Ovis aries: one gene and its partners. The protein of the gene in region 3 purifies or fractionates together with the protein of the main gene of each other region. This does not show direct contact. Links are inferred from orthologs where the notes say so. Each region holds a gene or a part of one and is shown on either strand. Other genes may lie near its edges.

Region 1 (5,832 bases), on a different chromosome or scaffold from region 3:
CCTGGCACAAAGCAGGTACTGGATATCTACAGAACAGACGCCAAAACTTCTGCTACACATTAGGATTACCAAAATAAAAAAGATACAGTTCTTCATAAACTCCTGGTCTTTAGATTTATAAATATGTACCTCCTCCAATTCTATATTAAAGGATGACTAGCTCCTAACATTTTTAGTGGCTAACCTCTTCACCTGTCATGTTAATCTGTCCCTGAGATCTCCCTTAGACTTCCCCCCAAGGATTATCCCCTCTCTCACTTCTTTAATTTCTCCTCCTCCACTTACTGAACATTTCCCACCTACTCTCCCACACTCAAATAACCTTCCCTCAGCCCTACATCCCCCTATTACCCTAAAGTATCCCATGGACTCCTTAACCACACCTCTCTTACAAACACATCTTGACCACTTCCTCAAAAGTCACCAGTGGCCTGGATAGTATTCTCACTTTCTTCAACATTTAACCCTGCTGAGGACTTTCCAGTCCAACCAGAGGTGCTGCTGTGCCACAGTTCTCTTAATTTTTTAAAATCTTTTTTGACCTTACTTCACTGTCGTCCTTCTCTCACACTTTTAAACCTGATTTTCACTAGAACTTCATCTTCTATTCTTGCTCCATTCTGTCTCTGAAACATTTCACCTTTTCCTCTATCTCAACTAGTGCCCCATACCAATAATTACATCATTCATTCAGAACCTAAATTCCAGCTCCACTTTCCCCATTAGTATTTAATATGAAATGTGACTTAATTCTTCAGCAAATCCTCAATAAAGAGTAGTTGCCGGCAATGACTTAGAAAAAATAATGTGAACTAAAATAATGTTCTGAACAAGCACTGGAAGGCAATATCATACAACTTAAAGCTTGTTTCACGAGTACTTCTTGAAATATAGTACGTAAACTAATCCTTCACTAATTTTAACTGACAGCTTGTACAAAAATAAACCAAAGACTAAAAATCATTCATACACTTTATATATGTGGTTAATCTGTATTAATTTTGCCTAAAACTGTTTATACAGTTCTAAATACACAGAAACAGTATTACTGCACGAATACAGTAGTAGAAAGCTAAAACAGGGAACATGCCAGTCACAAATTATTGCATAAGTCTGGAAACAGCATATGAAATAAATTCAAATTCTTTAAAAGGGGTTTGTAAAGATACACCTACAGTGCCATAATTAAAAGACTCACAGCTCAAAATTACACCTAATTATTACAGCAAACTGTCCATTGAGGTTTTGTGCTATTTTCAAAAACATTAGCAAGAAACAGACTTGTGACATTGTGGCCTTTAATTTAGATAGCCAAGGGTAGTTAGTTATATACATTTATATCAGTATGATAAAACTAAAGTCCCCGTCCTATAAACAAGAATATAGACCAGAAGAAATGTTTACCTCTCTGCAGTGGACAGGAGCCACAGTCCACACTGGTCAACCACAAATACCTGACTCACAGCCTAGCCCCTCTCATATGAGAGAAAATGACATCTGGTTATTACCGAACAAACTGCACATTCAAAACCTACAGTGAACTCTCTAACTTGTTCAGCAAAAATCCTCCTATGCTTTCCTTATGTACTGCAAGAAGGTGTGAGGGGGGGAAAAAAGACGAAGCCAGCTCCCAATTATCACTGCCAAAGCCAAGCTGGTGAAACAAGTCAGTCACCATGCTTCAAGGTATGTGGCATGTAAAGGCATGGGCAGGAAAACAATAGCAGAGACTTAAGCAAAGAGACACCTACATTTTAAGAAAAAGAAAATGAAAGTGATTTCACATCTCCTCCACCAAGGGAGCTGTAGGTGCACCGAGTCTTGAAATTCTAGGAGCTGCTCAAACGTTCTAGTTGGTGGCAGTTGATCACTACACCAGCTGTCACCTTTTGGAGTTTTCCAGGTTTCCCCTTTTCCCCCACAAAACCCCCTCTAGTCTAAGGCAGAAAAGTAACTGAGGAAATAGAACAGAAGATGAAGGGAAATGGCCGATGGGACAACAGACCACGAGAGCTGCTGTAACCCTGTCTCCAGAGGACCCAAAGCTCTAGTTATCAAAGTACAGCTCTAGAAATCTGTATCAGACACCTTTCACATCCAGGGAAAACCTCCATCTGTATCCCTTTCGCATCTATCTCGTAAACTGAAATCCCCTGTCTTATCCTAAACTCATCCTATATATATGACATTATCCTTAACCGATACCATTGCTTCCCCTAGTGAAAGGCAGATTTTTTTTTTAAGGGAGGAGGAAAGGTGAGGATGGAATGTCCTGAGGGAATGGGGGGAGGGGAGGGGGTGAGAAATACGTGCAAATACCATTGCGGCAAAGACACTGGACACGCCAGTTCCCTCATCGCTCCTGCAAATTCTCTTCGTGCATGACCCTCCGCTCAGCCCTCCTCCTGCTTCAACAATACACAGACACGTGTCCTAACCGACCCGCACCATCACCTTTTCTAGCATCGCACGCTCCCCGTTTCCACCCTCCCTCGCCCCCCAACAAAGACAGTCACACACACTTAAAAGAGGAGAAACTGCTGCCACCGCACCCTCCTTTCTCAGTAAGTGCTTCTACCACTTAGCATCTAGTGCTGGCTGAAAGACAGCTCGATAAACACGTATGTAGACAGACACACACACTGTCACTGACACACACACACACACACACACACACACACACACACACACACACACGGGCGCACATGCAGCATGTGGCGCAAAGAAGGGCACCCGGAGACGCACCTGGAGGCCGGGTGTCCAGCGCTGCTGCCCCCCTGGTCCCTGTCACTGAGCGCAGCTGTGTAAATCCTCCGGTAGCGGTCGGCCAGGGCCCGGCCTGACAGGAGCAGCTGGTAGTGACCCCGGGAGTCCGGGGCCGGCAACCCCAGCCCCAGCCCCGCGGCCGCCAAGGAGCCCTCGGGAAGCGGCATGAACAGCGCCCCCGGCGCCGGGGAGGAAGAGATGGTAGCGGCCGGGAAGAATCCGTCTCCGCCGGGCCCCGAGGAGGCGGCGGCGGGAGAGGCGGTAGCTGCGCACATCATCCTCCTCGCCGCCGCCTCGTCCCCGCGGGCCGGGCAGGCAGACACGCGCGCGCACACACAGCCCTTTTCCAACGACGACGGCTCCGGCGGCGGCCTCTCGCTCCCGCAGCAGCTGAGACTACAAAGACAGCGACCTCCTCCTTCTCCTCCTTCTTCTCCTCCTCCCCCCCGCGCCGCCCTCGCCACTACTGGGGCCGCTCATCTAACCCCGCCACCCCGGGAGTGTTAGGAGGAGGCGGTGCCGCCGCTGCACCCGCCGCCGCCTCCGCTGCCACCGCCGGAGCCACCCGCAATGGGAAGCGGCCGGCCGCTCTGGGCATGCGCCACTCCTCGCGCACGCTCAGTCCCTCCGGCCCCCCGTTCCCGCCCCACCCCCTCTCCGCCGCCACTGCCTCCGCCTCCGGGCACTGGGTGTGGGACCGGGGTGGCGTGCGGGATCGGGAAAAAGTCCACTTCTCCGGGTTTTACTAGCGGCTTGAGGAAGAGTCAGGAAAGTGCTGGGGAAGCTGTCAGCTCCATCCAGGCGGCTTCAGGTACCTGGGTTCCATCCAGGTGGGAGAACTGGAATCTGAAAGAGAGAGCCGGTGCCCGCCGCGGGAGGATGATCGTTCTGTATTCCTGTTCCCTTTCCCCAAAGCGTGCGCTGCCAGCGGGAAGATTTACTGTGAATGTGCTAGTTGAACTCAGAATTCAAGGCAAAGGAGGCCAGCCGAATTAGAAGTACCTTTGGTGGTCTTCGTTTGGGGTTATTTGTCATTAGGATTTAAGTCTGTTAAAAATAGCTTTTACTTACCGAAGGCAGGTAGTAATTTGGTGTACCCTCTTTTTTTTTTTTTTCCTGTGAAATTATAGCTCCCAGGTAGGAGAGGATTCACAAGCCAAAGTCTTTCCCAAGTTCTTGTTCTTAACATTTATATCCGAGCTAAGACTTAATGCAGTAGTGCTTCTCTCAAATATTCTTTAACTCCACATTCACCCTAAGAGGAGGGGGCACTCATCTCTTGACAGTGGATACTTCATGACTCATCTTTCTCAGCCCACATTTACATCACTAAAGATAATTCTTGTATATTACCTGAAACTACAGTTGTGACAGACTGTGTAATTAAGCAAATGTCATATCTACCAAAGATCTTATCAGTGTTATCTATAAATGTAATATTTGCTGAGTCCCCTCTTCCCAGTTACTCTACTAACTTCTTCAAAGTAAATGCTCTAGAAATATATGTGCCGAAGTACCCTGATTCCTATTAAATTTTATCCTTTTGTTTTTTTATATAAATTTATTTAATTGGAGGCTAATTATTTTACAATATTGAATTGGTTTTGCCATACATTGACATGAATCCACCATGGGTGTACATGTGTTCCCCATCCTGAACCCCCCTCCCACCTCCCTCCCCATACCATCCCTCTGGGTCATCCCTGTGCACACATCCCCCCCCCACCCCCCACCCCCCCAGTCTCCCTCTCAACGGGAGACACAGGAGAAGCAGGGTCAATCCCTGGAACCCGAAAACCCCATGGAGAAGGAAATGGCAACCCACTCCATGGACATCCCATGGACAGAGCAGCCTGGTGGGCTACAGTCCAAAGGGTCACAAAGATTCGGATATGACTGAGCACATAAGCACACATATCTTTTATGTACTTACTGGCTCTTAAGCCTCTTTGAATGTTCTTTAGCAGGAAAAAAAAAATCAAGCCCTGTTTACTGTTTGGAGAAGTACAAACAAGTAGTGGAGAAATTAAAATAATTCTAGTTTTTATGGGGAGACAGTGCTGAAGGATTCCTTTTTATCTGGGGCTTTGAATAATAAATGGATATCATTTTGATTATAAAAAGATAAGTAGAAGTGGAATAATAAAGCCATGGGACAAAGGACAGGCAGGGGAAATCATAGTATTTTCCTCGTGTGTGTAGCTCTGTTGTACAGATTTTGTATTTATCTTGTTGCCTCAGCTATCTTATAAGCTCCTTCACGGCTTTTTGTTTATCTTGATGTCTTCCTCAGCACCTGGTCTAGAACCTTGCCTATGGTAGATATCCAGCAGTTATTTATCGGGTGAAATTTCCTGTGCTGATGCTCCACCATGGTTACCCACCTGTGTTAAACTGCCCGTCCCTGCTCCCTGCTCCCCTCTCCCATCCCCTCCTCCCATCCCCCAACCCCCCTACCAAGCCTGGGATGAGAGCCAAGACACGATAGAGGCAGCTAAATGCTGGTGGAGTGAAAGGCGGACTCCTAGCGGCTCTAAGGGCTAATACTGTTGTAAGAGCCAGAGAGATAGCCAAAAGGCTCTGGCACGGGAAAGTTTGGGTTCTGACTCTGCTATTTGTATGTTTTTGGACAAGTTTCATCCTCTAATGGGGCCTCCCTGGTAGCTCAGCTGTTAAAAAATCTGCTTGCAACACAGGAGACCCTGGTTCAATTCCTGGTTCGATTCCTGGGTTGGGAAGATTCCCTGGAGAAGGGATAGGCTACCCACTCCAGGTATTCTTGGGCTTCCCTTGTGGCTCAGCTGGTAAAGAATCCCCCTGCAATGTGGGAGACCTGGGTTCGATCCCTGGGTTGGGAAGATCCTCTGGAGAAGGGAATGGCAACCCACTCCAATATTCTAGCCAGGAGAATTTCATGGACTGTATAGTCTATAGGGTCACAAAGAGTTGGACAGGACTGAGTGACTTTCACTTGCAGCCTTTGAAACAGGGTCAAAATAATACTGCAGGAGATTGTGGGAGGACTTCCCCTTGTCAGGTGGCTTTTCATAAACAGAACACACTAGA
Region 2 (5,594 bases), on a different chromosome or scaffold from region 3:
TGGAGCTACGATTCACACAGCACACAGCTCACCACTCGGCAGTGCCAATCAGGGTTTCTTTAGTAGATCCAAAGCACTGTCCATCTACCACCACCATCTAACTCCAGCACATTCTCATTACCCCCTAAAGAAACCCTGTTCTCATTAGAAGTCACTCCACATTCCACCACCCCTCGCCCTAGGCAGTCACTCAACCACTTTCTGATTCTCTGGATTTGCTGCTTCTGCACGTTTCGTATCATGGAATCCTACAATATGTAGCCTCTTATGTCTGGCTTCTTTCCCTCAAAATGATGTTTTCGAGGTTCACTCATGCTGTGACCTCCACAGTCTTTCATTCTTTTTGATGGCTGAATAACATTCCATCGTGTGGGCGTCCACACTGTGTTTTTCCATCCATCTGCTGGTGGGCATCTGGGTTTGTTTGTGCTCTCTGGCTATGGATCATCAACGATGCTGTACGAACATCCATATACAAGTGTTTGGGAGATGGACAGCTGCAATTTTTATGCAGTTCCTGTCTCCCTCTGGGGCCGGGAGGTTCATGGGGGAACAGACAAGTCTGTCCTATCTACCACTGTGTTCCCAGCACCCACGATAAGGTTTGAAACATACCAGCCATGAAACATACACTCGATGAGAAAACCAAGGACAAGCGGCACCCTGATCCTCCAGTCCTGATTCTTTCAGCTAAACGACCTCCACTGCCCCCAAGTCAGAGTATCTCCTCCATCCTCTGGCTTCCCTCTGGGGTCCAGCAGTGACACCCACTTGTTTTCTCTTTCCTTCCCCACCCCCACCATCCAATCCCTTTGGAGATCCTCCAAGATCTATCTCTAACCCAAACACTTCTCAGGGATTCCTTCCCACCCCAGTCGAGTAAATCACCATCTCGCGCGGGGATGCCTGCAACAGCCCCCTAATTCTTTCCCTGCTTCCATTCCTACCTCCTTGGGTCTACTCTCTATCCAGCAGCCAGAGGAACTATTTTAAAACATCAGTTAGGTCCCATCCCTCCCATGCTCAAAACCTTCCTGCCACTCTCGCTTCAGAGAAAGGCCAAGGTGCTCCCCATGGCCCACAAAGCCCTACCTGCTCCCTGTCTCTTCTCTGCCCAAATCTCCCACCTCTCCCACCCTCCCTTGCTTGGCTCCAACCACACAAGCCCACAAGCCCCCTCGCTCTTATCTGAATCCTCACCAAGTGTGCTACAACCTCAGGACCTTTGAACACACCATTCCGCTGCCTGGACCCCTCTTGCCTCCAAAATCTGTACCACTTGCCCCTTCTCAATCCTGTTCCCTTCCCCCTCTTCCTGTCCTTATTTTTCTTCACAGCACTAGTCATCATCTGTAGTTCTCTGTGTTTATAATTTAATCTCCCTCCTGGCACGAGTGCTCCAAGGGGCAGGGATTTCTGTTCACTGTGGTAGCCCTCGTCCCTAGAAGTGTCTGGCACACTGGATTGATCAAAACGCATTTGTCAAGTGAGAACGAATGAATGAACCTTCAGAGGCAAGATGTTCTGGTCAATGGAGTCAGCTGACAAGAAAATGGAGCCTTCAAGAGGTTGAATGACTTGCCAAGGGTCACAAGGTAGGTGTCAGAGGCAGTGCACACCTTCTTCTAACACCTGCCCTCCACCACAACCCACAACCCCTCAATGCTCCACCCCTTTCCTAACAAACATAACCTCCCTCTGCCACTTGGTACCCAAGTTTCCACCCTTCTTGCTCACTGAGCACCTACTATGTGCCAGATCATCCCATACCTGCTAAATTCTAAAATCATCACTGGGCACTTGCAGAGGCCGCTCCTCAGATTCGGCCAAGTTACAAAAACAGGAGCCAAGACACCTTGTGCCTGGAATGTGTGAAACGCCTCACTCACATTCGGTTATCATCACAACCCCATCAGGAAGATGCCATCAGCAGTCCCTCCTGACAGATGAGGAAACCGAGAGGTGAAGTCCCTCATTCAAGGTCACAAGGCAAGGGGATGGGAGCAGTCAAACTCAAACCGAAGCCTGGCTGACCCCGGAGCCTGTGCGGATACAGCTTCTGAAGCTCTTGGCAGCTCCAAACACCAACACCCGCTCCCAAGAGCTGGGAGCTGACTTGGCGCCAGGCCTCCCATAGTCACGACCATTCTTCCTGCTGGTGAGGGCTGTCCCCATGTTGATGTGGTCAGAGGGGAGAGGGCTCCAGATTCAGGGCTGTCCTGCTCCCCGACCCATGACCCCTCTGGAACCAGGCTTCCCCCCATGCCCACCAGCTTTCCAGATCTCTTCCCCATGGATGTCTAAGGCCCCCCAGGCCCCTTCTTTGAGATCTGAGCTCTCTCCCTTCTGGCACTTCCCCCAAGTCCCCACATGATAATGACCTCTCCTTTCCAGGCCCCCCAGCTCCCTGTTTCAGGTTCTCCCAAGACTCTCCATCTGCAGCGCTTCTCCGTGCTCCCCTCAGTAACCCCTCTAGCCCCTTCTTCACTGCCCGCCACATCTCCTAAGCAATCCTCCATCCAGGAGCCCCTCTGTGCCTCACCAAGGTCCCAGAGAGTCTCCCTTGTTCCCATCTCTCCTCCCCAAATCCCTGGGACTTTCTATCATTCTCAAGTCCTCTCTATGAACCAGCTGAGCGCCTCCATGACCTGTCTAGCCCCTTGGCCTCTATGACACCCCCTCGCCCAGGCCCTCAAGCCCGATTCCTTTTAGGTTTCCTGTGTTTCGCGTCCTCCCAGTTCTCTCTGGCCTCCTCCTATTCTACCTCTCCACAGGGTACCCCCACCCACCCTCCCACCCATGCACCTTCTTCCTTTTTTATCTACAACAGGGATCTCTCTAACCCTACCGCTAATATGATCCCCCAGCGTTCCTTCCACTCCCAGGGGACACCTCTATGCCCTGTTCCCGGGACTTTACTAGTCTCCTCTATTAAGACCCTCCGCGATGCCTCTAACCACTCCGCGTTGTCACCTCGAGAAGCACACTATGACACCCTAACCCCCTCCATTCCCCCGAACCCACCCTTAAGTTCCCCCCTCCGGTGGCCTCTCTCGCCTCTCACTCTAGGGCCGCAATGGATTTCTAATCCTTGGGCCCCTCTGTAACGCCCCCCCGAACCCTTCAATTTCACGCTCTCCCCTTTGCCCGATCTCCCCCGACCGCGCTCTCACAGTTCCGGATGTCGGAGATGAACACGGCGAGCCCCCGCATCCCATCGCCCTTGGACACGGCCGGCATGATGGCGGTGGCGTCGGCTCCAGGCCTGGCCGGGCAGGGCACCGCACGGCGGGGGCTGGCAGGCGGGGGGGAACCGGGAGGAAAGGACCCCAGGCAGCGCTGAGAAGCCGAGCCGGCCGGGGCGGGGGGCGGGCGGGCGGGGAGGGCGGGCTGGCGGGCGGGCGGGCGGGCAGGCCGCGGCTCCGCCCCAGGCCCCTCCCCTCGCCTCCGCCAGCCTGCGCTCTCGGGGCCGCCTATAGGCTGCAATTACTGGCGCTCAGACACAGGCTCGGCCCCTCCGCCTGTCTCATTGGTCGCTGGACAAAGGCGTGCGGCTCCGATTGGTCCAGCGCCCCGCTATTTCCGCTCGCGAGTGGAGGGGGTGGGGGCGTTGCCTGAGCGACGGGCGGAGTTCGTGACGTACAGTGGAACCGCCCCCTCCGCTCGGCCGGGTGAGGGACCGATTGGATCCGGGGGCTCTCCCAGGAGGGAGGGACGGACGCGAAGGACGGAGGGGGCGTGGACTTGCAGAGGCGGGACTCACGTTTACTGAGGCCAATGGGCGGGTAGATCGCCCCCGCGGGCGTCGCGGATTCGCCGAGCCAGTCCTACGCCCGCCTTCGATTGGGCCGGTGTCTGGGGCAAAGGAGGAGGGCTACGATCCGTAGAGAAGGAAGGAGAAAGGGGGGTCGTTACTCGCCTGGGCTGGGATAGGTGGAGCGGCTCCTGCAATTCCCTGCTGCAGAGAAGGAGTTGGGAGGGGCGGGAGAGCGTGAGGTGCTTACTGCGCAAGCGTCTTTCTGTTCCCTTTTTTTTTTTTTTCCCCTCCTCTCCGCCACCTCCGGACTCCTTAAATCTTCTTCCTGGGAGCCGTCCCTACCTCCTCCCCCTCCCTTCTTCCTTTCTCTTCTCTAGCCGCCGAGATGTTGGGATCTAACTTGCCCGGAAGCCTAGTATCCCAGAGCTGAAGAAACAGTAATTCGAGTCTACTCCCATTAAGCAGAGGTTAAAACTGACGTCCAGAGAGGTTGAATGACATGCCCAAGGTCACAGAGCTCGGGAGGATTAAACTATATTCTAACATTTAACTACTTTCTCATATACAATGGCTTTGTTGTTGCAACTGTAACACCATTAAATAGATATCAAGTACAAATTGCGAGTCTTTCCACCAGACTTTGAGTTCTTCCTGAACAAGAAGGGGACCCGGTAATGAATGAAGAACGTTGCATAAGGAAAGCGGTCGGTGAGCCCGCTTTGTTTGGCCCAACCAACACCGCTTGAGACGTTCTCGTTAGACTGTATTTGGGGAAGGCAAAACCTCAGAAACCCCAACGCCCCGGGCTATTGAGAAATTTGAGGCAAAGGGAACTGGAAGAGTCCATTCTAGCACCTAGAGGAACTAAGTCCCCAGTCAGGCTTTTCCAATATCAGAAATCTAGTATGCTTGGATTGAGCCTTAGGAGTGTCACGGGTCCGGGAAGATCCCCTGGGGGAGATGGGGACGGGGCAGAAGAGCCCATCTTCCAGGTTCAATGGATTCGTCCATTTGGGTTTCCAGGGATGGGGCTTGGGAAAGTCTATTCTGGATTCTAGGAGGACAAACATCTCTGGTGTTGGGGGAGGCTGTCTGCCCCTGAAGACTATATAGAATGGCCCCATAAACAACAATAACAACAAACTATTAGGACCAATAGGAGTTGGAAAAACTCCTTTTTATGGAAGATAATCTCAAGCAATCCAAGGACTGGAGGAGTCCATGACAAGGGAAGAAGCACTTTTCTCCCTGAGGATAACACCATTAAATATAGATAGATACCAGACAGATAGTAGTGGGTTGGAATTAGTCTGCTTTTCAGGGGATGCGAAGAGAGACATCCAGAGCCGGATGAACAGAATTATGTCCCTAAGGAAGAGGGAAAAGACACCCTCTTCCTAGACTTCATGGGGATGGATGTGGCACCCTGGACAGGAGCTCATGGGCTCACCAGTGCCAAGTTAGAGCAGCACCTTCCAAAAGAAATGCAGTGGGAGCCACAAATACAGTCACAAATATGCTCCTCCCGCATTAAAGTAAAAAGAAAAGGTGAGATGAATCTTAATAATATATTTCATTTAACCCCATGCACCCAAATATTGGGCTTCCCTGGTGGCTCAGTGGGTTTAATCCCTGGGTTGAGAAGATCCCCTAGGGGAGGGCATGGCAACCCACTCCGGTATTCTTGCCTGGAGAATCTCATGGACAGAGCAGCCTGGCGGGCTGCAGTCCATGGGGTCACAAAGAGTCGGACACAACTGAGTGCCTAACAGCACAGGTGGCTCAGTGGTAAAGAATCCGCCTGCCAATACAGGGGATGCGGGTTCAATTCCCGGGA
Region 3 (5,639 bases):
GGGAGAATATTTGAGGGGAGGTTGGTAGCAGATTGAGGATGTGTCTGTTTTTATGCTAACACATCCACTGATAAGAATAACTTGAAGTGTAGTAACATTCCTGTTCTATTTTCTAAACCTAACTCTTCTAGCCTTTCTCACTCTTGCTAAAAACCTATTTTGCAAGTGGACACTTTGATAAATTCCTTTATAGAAAGAGTCACATAACATTATAACTAAGCTGTTATCTGATCCTCACATTTGCAGCTTCGCATCTAGCCTCTAAGGCCGTGTAAACAAATAATGTCAAGTTTTCAACAGGTTTGTCTAATCCTTGATTATCCACACTGCAGATTATCCAGTATGGTGCAACAATTCTCTGCTAACACTGGTCCACAGGGTCCATGGAGGCCCTCTCCTGGTACTTCCTTGAACAAGAAAATGGATGTAGGCTTATGAGGGAAGGCAGGTTCAGACGGAGACCTTGGAAAAGTGTTTATCAATTTTGCTGATATTAATTTCAGACAAAGTTTTGGCAAGGAAAGCCTTGGAGATTATTTTCAAGGTCCTCTGAAAGATCTTGACCTTATACTATGTGCAAGTTAAAATTCATATTCACCTCTCAGTCTATGCTGGAATTGTAAAACTACAACATAGTCAAATAATCTGACTTTCATACTTCTGGAGGCTAATCCTAAAATGAGTGAAATAATTCCACAGGGCAATGATCCTGCCCATCACCAAATCTATACATTCCAGAGTTATCTAGCACAGCCTGAGAATTTGTTCAAAACTTATGATGGAAAGATTTCCTATGGCTGTGTAATACCCCTAAGTACTAAGGACAGAATTTTGGTTTCAGTAAAACAATCCAGAAGTGTCTTTATTCTTGCTTTTTACCAAAAAGCAACAATTTATTCTAGTCAGCAAAGTCATTTTCATTAATGGAGCAATATATATATATATTTTTAATCAACCACAAAGTCTTTCAGAAGGTACTTCAGAATTAAAAGTTAAAAACTTGCACCTTCATACTAGAAAAAATTTGTTTTATAGTTTTGGTGATAAAAGGACAATCTGTAACAAAGGATAAAAACTAAGTCTAAGTTGAGTTCAGGACGTTAGTTAACATTAATATGTATAAATCACTATTTTATGCATATTAGATTAACAGTGATTATGTGGTCAACTATATAAACATGCAACTATATAATCTAAAACTCGCCAAATCTCTAGATTTATTATAATGTGACACTTATTCAAAGAAAGACGCTACAACACATTCCACACCTAGAACATGGATCACTGGCTAGGGAGAGGAGAAACTCTTGTTAAAGGACGTTTTCAATTCTGGCAAGTAGCAGTCTTCCAGCGTAAACTAAGGAATACATGAAAAACACCAAGGAGAATACATTCAAGTTAATGGAAACAAGTCTTTATTAAGTAACTTTTAATATCAGAAAAATAAAACTCTTATAATTCTCTTTACAGCAAATATATAATATCAGTGCTTTGGCCATCTTAAGTTAAAGGCCCTTTATCATAAAATATATGGTTTTAAACTTTACTCAAATTGAATTTATAATCCCTATGACTTCCCTACATATACATAACAAAAGAGTGTAGTAAAATTAGCAAATACTAAACTATATTGATAATTTATCATTCTTAGTTTGTGGTTTTTAGAAACAGTACACGCACCTAATATATGTCGATTCCTTGGCTTATTAGTTGCAGTGTACAATGCAACAAAATACAAAATACATGCTTGGTGAACATTCGTTTGTATCTACAAGACGGCAGCTAAAGATTAGGTTTCAATACTGACATTTAACTATTCTACAAGCAATTAGCATTACATCATAATATGCCATCAAGGCAATTTTTTATACTGAAAAAATCAAAATAAAAACCGTTATTTGTAAACTTTTATACGAAATGTAACTCTTCAAGTGGAAATAAAAAATAAAATTTGTCTATTTACTATTCAATACACATAGGATTTCAATTTTTGTTATACTGAGAAAAAAAGCTCTTTTTTGTTGGGAAAATAACGCTTCAAAAAATAATTAGTAGAAAAACCCACCAGTATAATGTTTTATCCATTCAATGCCAGCAGATTTGGGAACATACTGAGGATGAAAAGTCACAGACATCCACAGGTGAAATGTAAAAAGTGTATCTTAAAGAAATCTTTCCTTGTGATTGGAAACAAGTTTTGAAATGAAGTAAACTGATTGGAGGTCGTCACAGCTGCTTCTGTAAATATGCTAAGGGCATTGTTACCCCACTCTCCCTCCCCCTCCCCTAAATTACTAAAAAATAAAAATACATTTATAATGTGCAAGACAAATATGGATTGAACATAAAATGTTTCACATTTTGATCTATAGTCTAAAAATTAATCAATAGCTTGATCAGACTAATGAATGGAATGTTCGTATCCTCAATTATTAGCCAATGCAGGTGCACCCCAAAGCCTTTCCTGGAATGGAAAAACCCAGGTGGCCATTTCCACATTCACCGAGGGAGGCAATGGGTAGGAATTCACGATCGATACAACTGCATTCCTGCTCCACTGATCAGACCAGCCGGGAGCACTCTGGGCGAGATGAAGGTCAATGTAGCAGTTTTTGTCCCAAATTATAACCAGTGATAGAGTAAACTGCCATCAGCCCTATTATTACCAATAAGTAACCACAATGCATTAAAAAGTTACTTGCAATCCTGCAGAATTAGGCATAAGTTGTTGTAAAATAAAAAACAAACGGACCTGTTTTGTCAAAACTGGCAGTGTAAAGAAGGCAGCCCTGGAAGTGTCTGAGTCATCTGTAATGCCGCGTACCCTCCATAAACTCTTAATGTGGTTAGGCTTTGGGACCCATCATTTGGAAATCTTAGACGTATACACTTTTCTCATAGGTTCACATAACCTATGATTATCTTCACTCAGCCGAGTTGAACATCAGCTTTAGCAATTCTTACACAAGCTATGTCTCTGGGTCTACAGGATAAGATTAATAATTCAAACCAAACTAAGACAAGAGACCACTTAGGTTTAGTGTTACCATAGCAGCCTTTTATAAGTTTACTAACAACTTTAGCCTAATCCCAATAAAGCCTGATAACAGTCATAAGAATTCATTAGGAAGTTTACTGGGGGTACCATTATACCCATGCCTTTACGAGTCCATATAGAGATATAGTATTTATGTATATATATATAGTTAAGAGTGAATTTGGATTGCCTGAGTAACAGCTGTCTGGCAAACTGGACATGATGGCGTTCTCTTTTCACAGATCTTGTTGGCACATTCCATGCAGAAGAGGTTGTGGCCACATGGAACTAGGGCAGCAATAACTTCATTCTCAAAGCAAATCACACAGTCGTGCTTTCGTCTTGATTCTGGAGGTGAGCTAGAGGTGGAACCACCGTTGGAAGAGGAGTAACTATTGGTACCATTAGAAAAAGCAGGGATGTATATTGGAAGGCCAGCATGGTTGCCTGTACTAGGTGGGTCGCTCCTAACCCTCCGAGCAAGTGGGTGTTCAATGCTCTCAGGAAAGGTAGGAGACAGACGAGGAGTAGATGGCTGACTTCCTCTACGCTGAGTCTTCATGTTACCAGGAGGATCACTCCCAAAGCCAGAGAGTGGGTTAACTGGTTCAAACGGAGTCCAGATAGTTTGAGCGGATGTTGGTAGAGAGTCAAAGGCAGGAGAATCAACCGCAAGGTCTTCTGAGCCTACAGAAGGTAGTGTATCTCCAAACCAAAAGTTTCCTGTGCTAAATGGGCTTGTTGGACTAAAGTCAGCCAGCCTATTGCTTCCAAAGTAGGAATCTGTGGAACCGCTTCCCAGGGAACTGGAACTATCATTTCGATAATTGGAGATCATTCTGGCGCGGCTAGGAGGAACGGGATTGGAGGAGAGCCACGCAGAGCCCAGAGTGCCACCTTCAAAGCTGACATCGGTACCGTTGTAATGGAAGTCATTCTCTTCGTTGAGCTCAATGTAGTTTCCTGTGCGCATGGCAATATGCATCTCAATCTCTTCTCGGGCTCGGTCAACATTCTCGGGCATCCCTGTCACTTCAAAGACGGGCTCCTTGTCCCTGCTCGGAGTCACTATGTACGTGTGGGTCTGCTGCTGGATTCTTTTAATGGTTGCTCCTTTGGGTCCGACCACCAGCCCTACGACACGATAGGGCACTCGGACTTGAACGGTGGTCTGACCCGGCAGATTAGGGCTGCAGGACAGCCCGCCCAGGGCAGGGCCATTTTTGTTTCGAGATGCACGAATCATGGAGAAGTGCTCTGCAGCTGACAGGATTTCTCGTTTGGCCATGGCAACATCTTCTTTCCGTCCAGTGACAACAAAAATGGGCTCTTCACCACGAACTGGTGTTTTGATATACGTGTTCGTCTTGGCTCTCAGCGCTTTAATTTTACAACCTGTTAGAAAGAAAATATTTTTTAAGTATCAACATCTACTTCAACAATATTGAAAAAGACAAATTACAGAAAGCTCCTTTCAGGATAACAGTCTGGTTTGGGGCAGTTTTTCCGTCCCTCTTTAAGTCTGAGCGTATTTCTTATCACTAAATGCTGATAAAGCTTTCCTAGTTCCACTATGACTCCTGGGTCCTGAGGGTACTTTCCTGTGACCTCTCATTCTCAGCAAAGAGGAGACGCCTCCACTGAAGGCCTTTAACTCAGAGGACAGGCTTATAGTTTTCCTCCTCTTGTTATTAGTCATTGCGAATGATGCATGAAATAGGCCAGCTACACTATGAGTGGATTTGACTTTCAGAACACTAATAGTTTACTACCTTGCAGGGTGTTGGTGGCAAAGAAAAAATATTAATGTACAATGTGAGACGATACCTATCATCTTATTTAATCTACATAACAACCCTAAGGATGAGACTGTTACACTCCTTTTATTGCTAAGGAAAATAAAGCGCAGAAATATTGTGTAACATGCCTGAGTTCACTCAGCAAGTAAGAGGCAGAGCCACCGTTAAACCTAGTCTGACTTCATAGTCTATAGTCTTTGTTATTGGTCCTAGAACCTCAAATTCCACAGAACTATACTGATGATAGAAGTTCTCCAACTGACTTCCACTTAACTGTCTCGTCATTTTACTTCAACATCATTCTCTCCTCTGTAAAACTCAATTGATGACAATAGCAAAGTGCTCAAAGTTAGCACATCATCTCATTTCTGTTCCATCAGTTGGATTTCAGGCTTAACTAAGAATGAGTTGTCTTTATCCCCATCTGTTTATGCTAACTGAACTCATGCATTAACTAAATTAATAATTACATAAAGCAGTGATATATAAATACAAGACATGGAATTTGTATCAAAATTGATTATTTTTAAAAATTTCAATAATGATGAGTACTTAAAGAAAAAAAAAGATGCTGTTGAACTATGGGTGAGACAACTGTAAAATCTTGGGGTAAAAAAACTGACCCAGAGTAATTCTGTGTTCATTGTGAAGTTCTTGCTAAATTCAAAAGAAACATATTGGAAATTGTATGGAGTATGGTCATTGGGTGTGGTTTTATTGAAGGACTATAATGGCTGGCAGTCCCATTCTCAAATAAAAGGCTTTGGTTCTAAATCCTAAGTATATTTAAGTTAAATAAATAA

The links.
Region 1: the proteins of MEX3C (region 3) and MYCBP2 purify together in Homo sapiens (affinity purification with mass spectrometry; 3 studies listed by BioGRID and IntAct, with this or other methods). This does not show direct contact. The link is inferred for Ovis aries from reciprocal best matches to the Homo sapiens genes MEX3C and MYCBP2.
Region 2: the proteins of MEX3C (region 3) and AP2A1 purify together in Homo sapiens (affinity purification with mass spectrometry; 3 studies listed by BioGRID, with this or other methods). This does not show direct contact. The link is inferred for Ovis aries from reciprocal best matches to the Homo sapiens genes MEX3C and AP2A1.

The regions. Positions count from the first base shown.
Region 1 is NC_056063.1:53,028,902-53,034,733, forward strand, and holds the start of MYCBP2 (E3 ubiquitin-protein ligase MYCBP2), read right to left. Parts: upstream 3,359-5,832; 5' UTR 3,045-3,358; coding exon 2,746-3,044; intron 1-2,745. UniProt on the Homo sapiens protein: Atypical E3 ubiquitin-protein ligase which specifically mediates ubiquitination of threonine and serine residues on target proteins, instead of ubiquitinating lysine residues.
Region 2 is NC_056067.1:55,869,172-55,874,765, reverse strand, and holds the start of AP2A1 (AP-2 complex subunit alpha-1), read right to left. Parts: upstream 3,359-5,594; 5' UTR 3,241-3,358; coding exon 3,174-3,240; intron 1-3,173.
Region 3 is NC_056076.1:50,964,952-50,970,590, forward strand, and holds the end of MEX3C (RNA-binding E3 ubiquitin-protein ligase MEX3C), read right to left. Parts: intron 4,433-5,639; coding exon 3,207-4,432; 3' UTR 1,393-3,206; downstream 1-1,392. UniProt on the Homo sapiens protein: E3 ubiquitin ligase responsible for the post-transcriptional regulation of common HLA-A allotypes. Binds to the 3' UTR of HLA-A2 mRNA, and regulates its levels by promoting mRNA decay.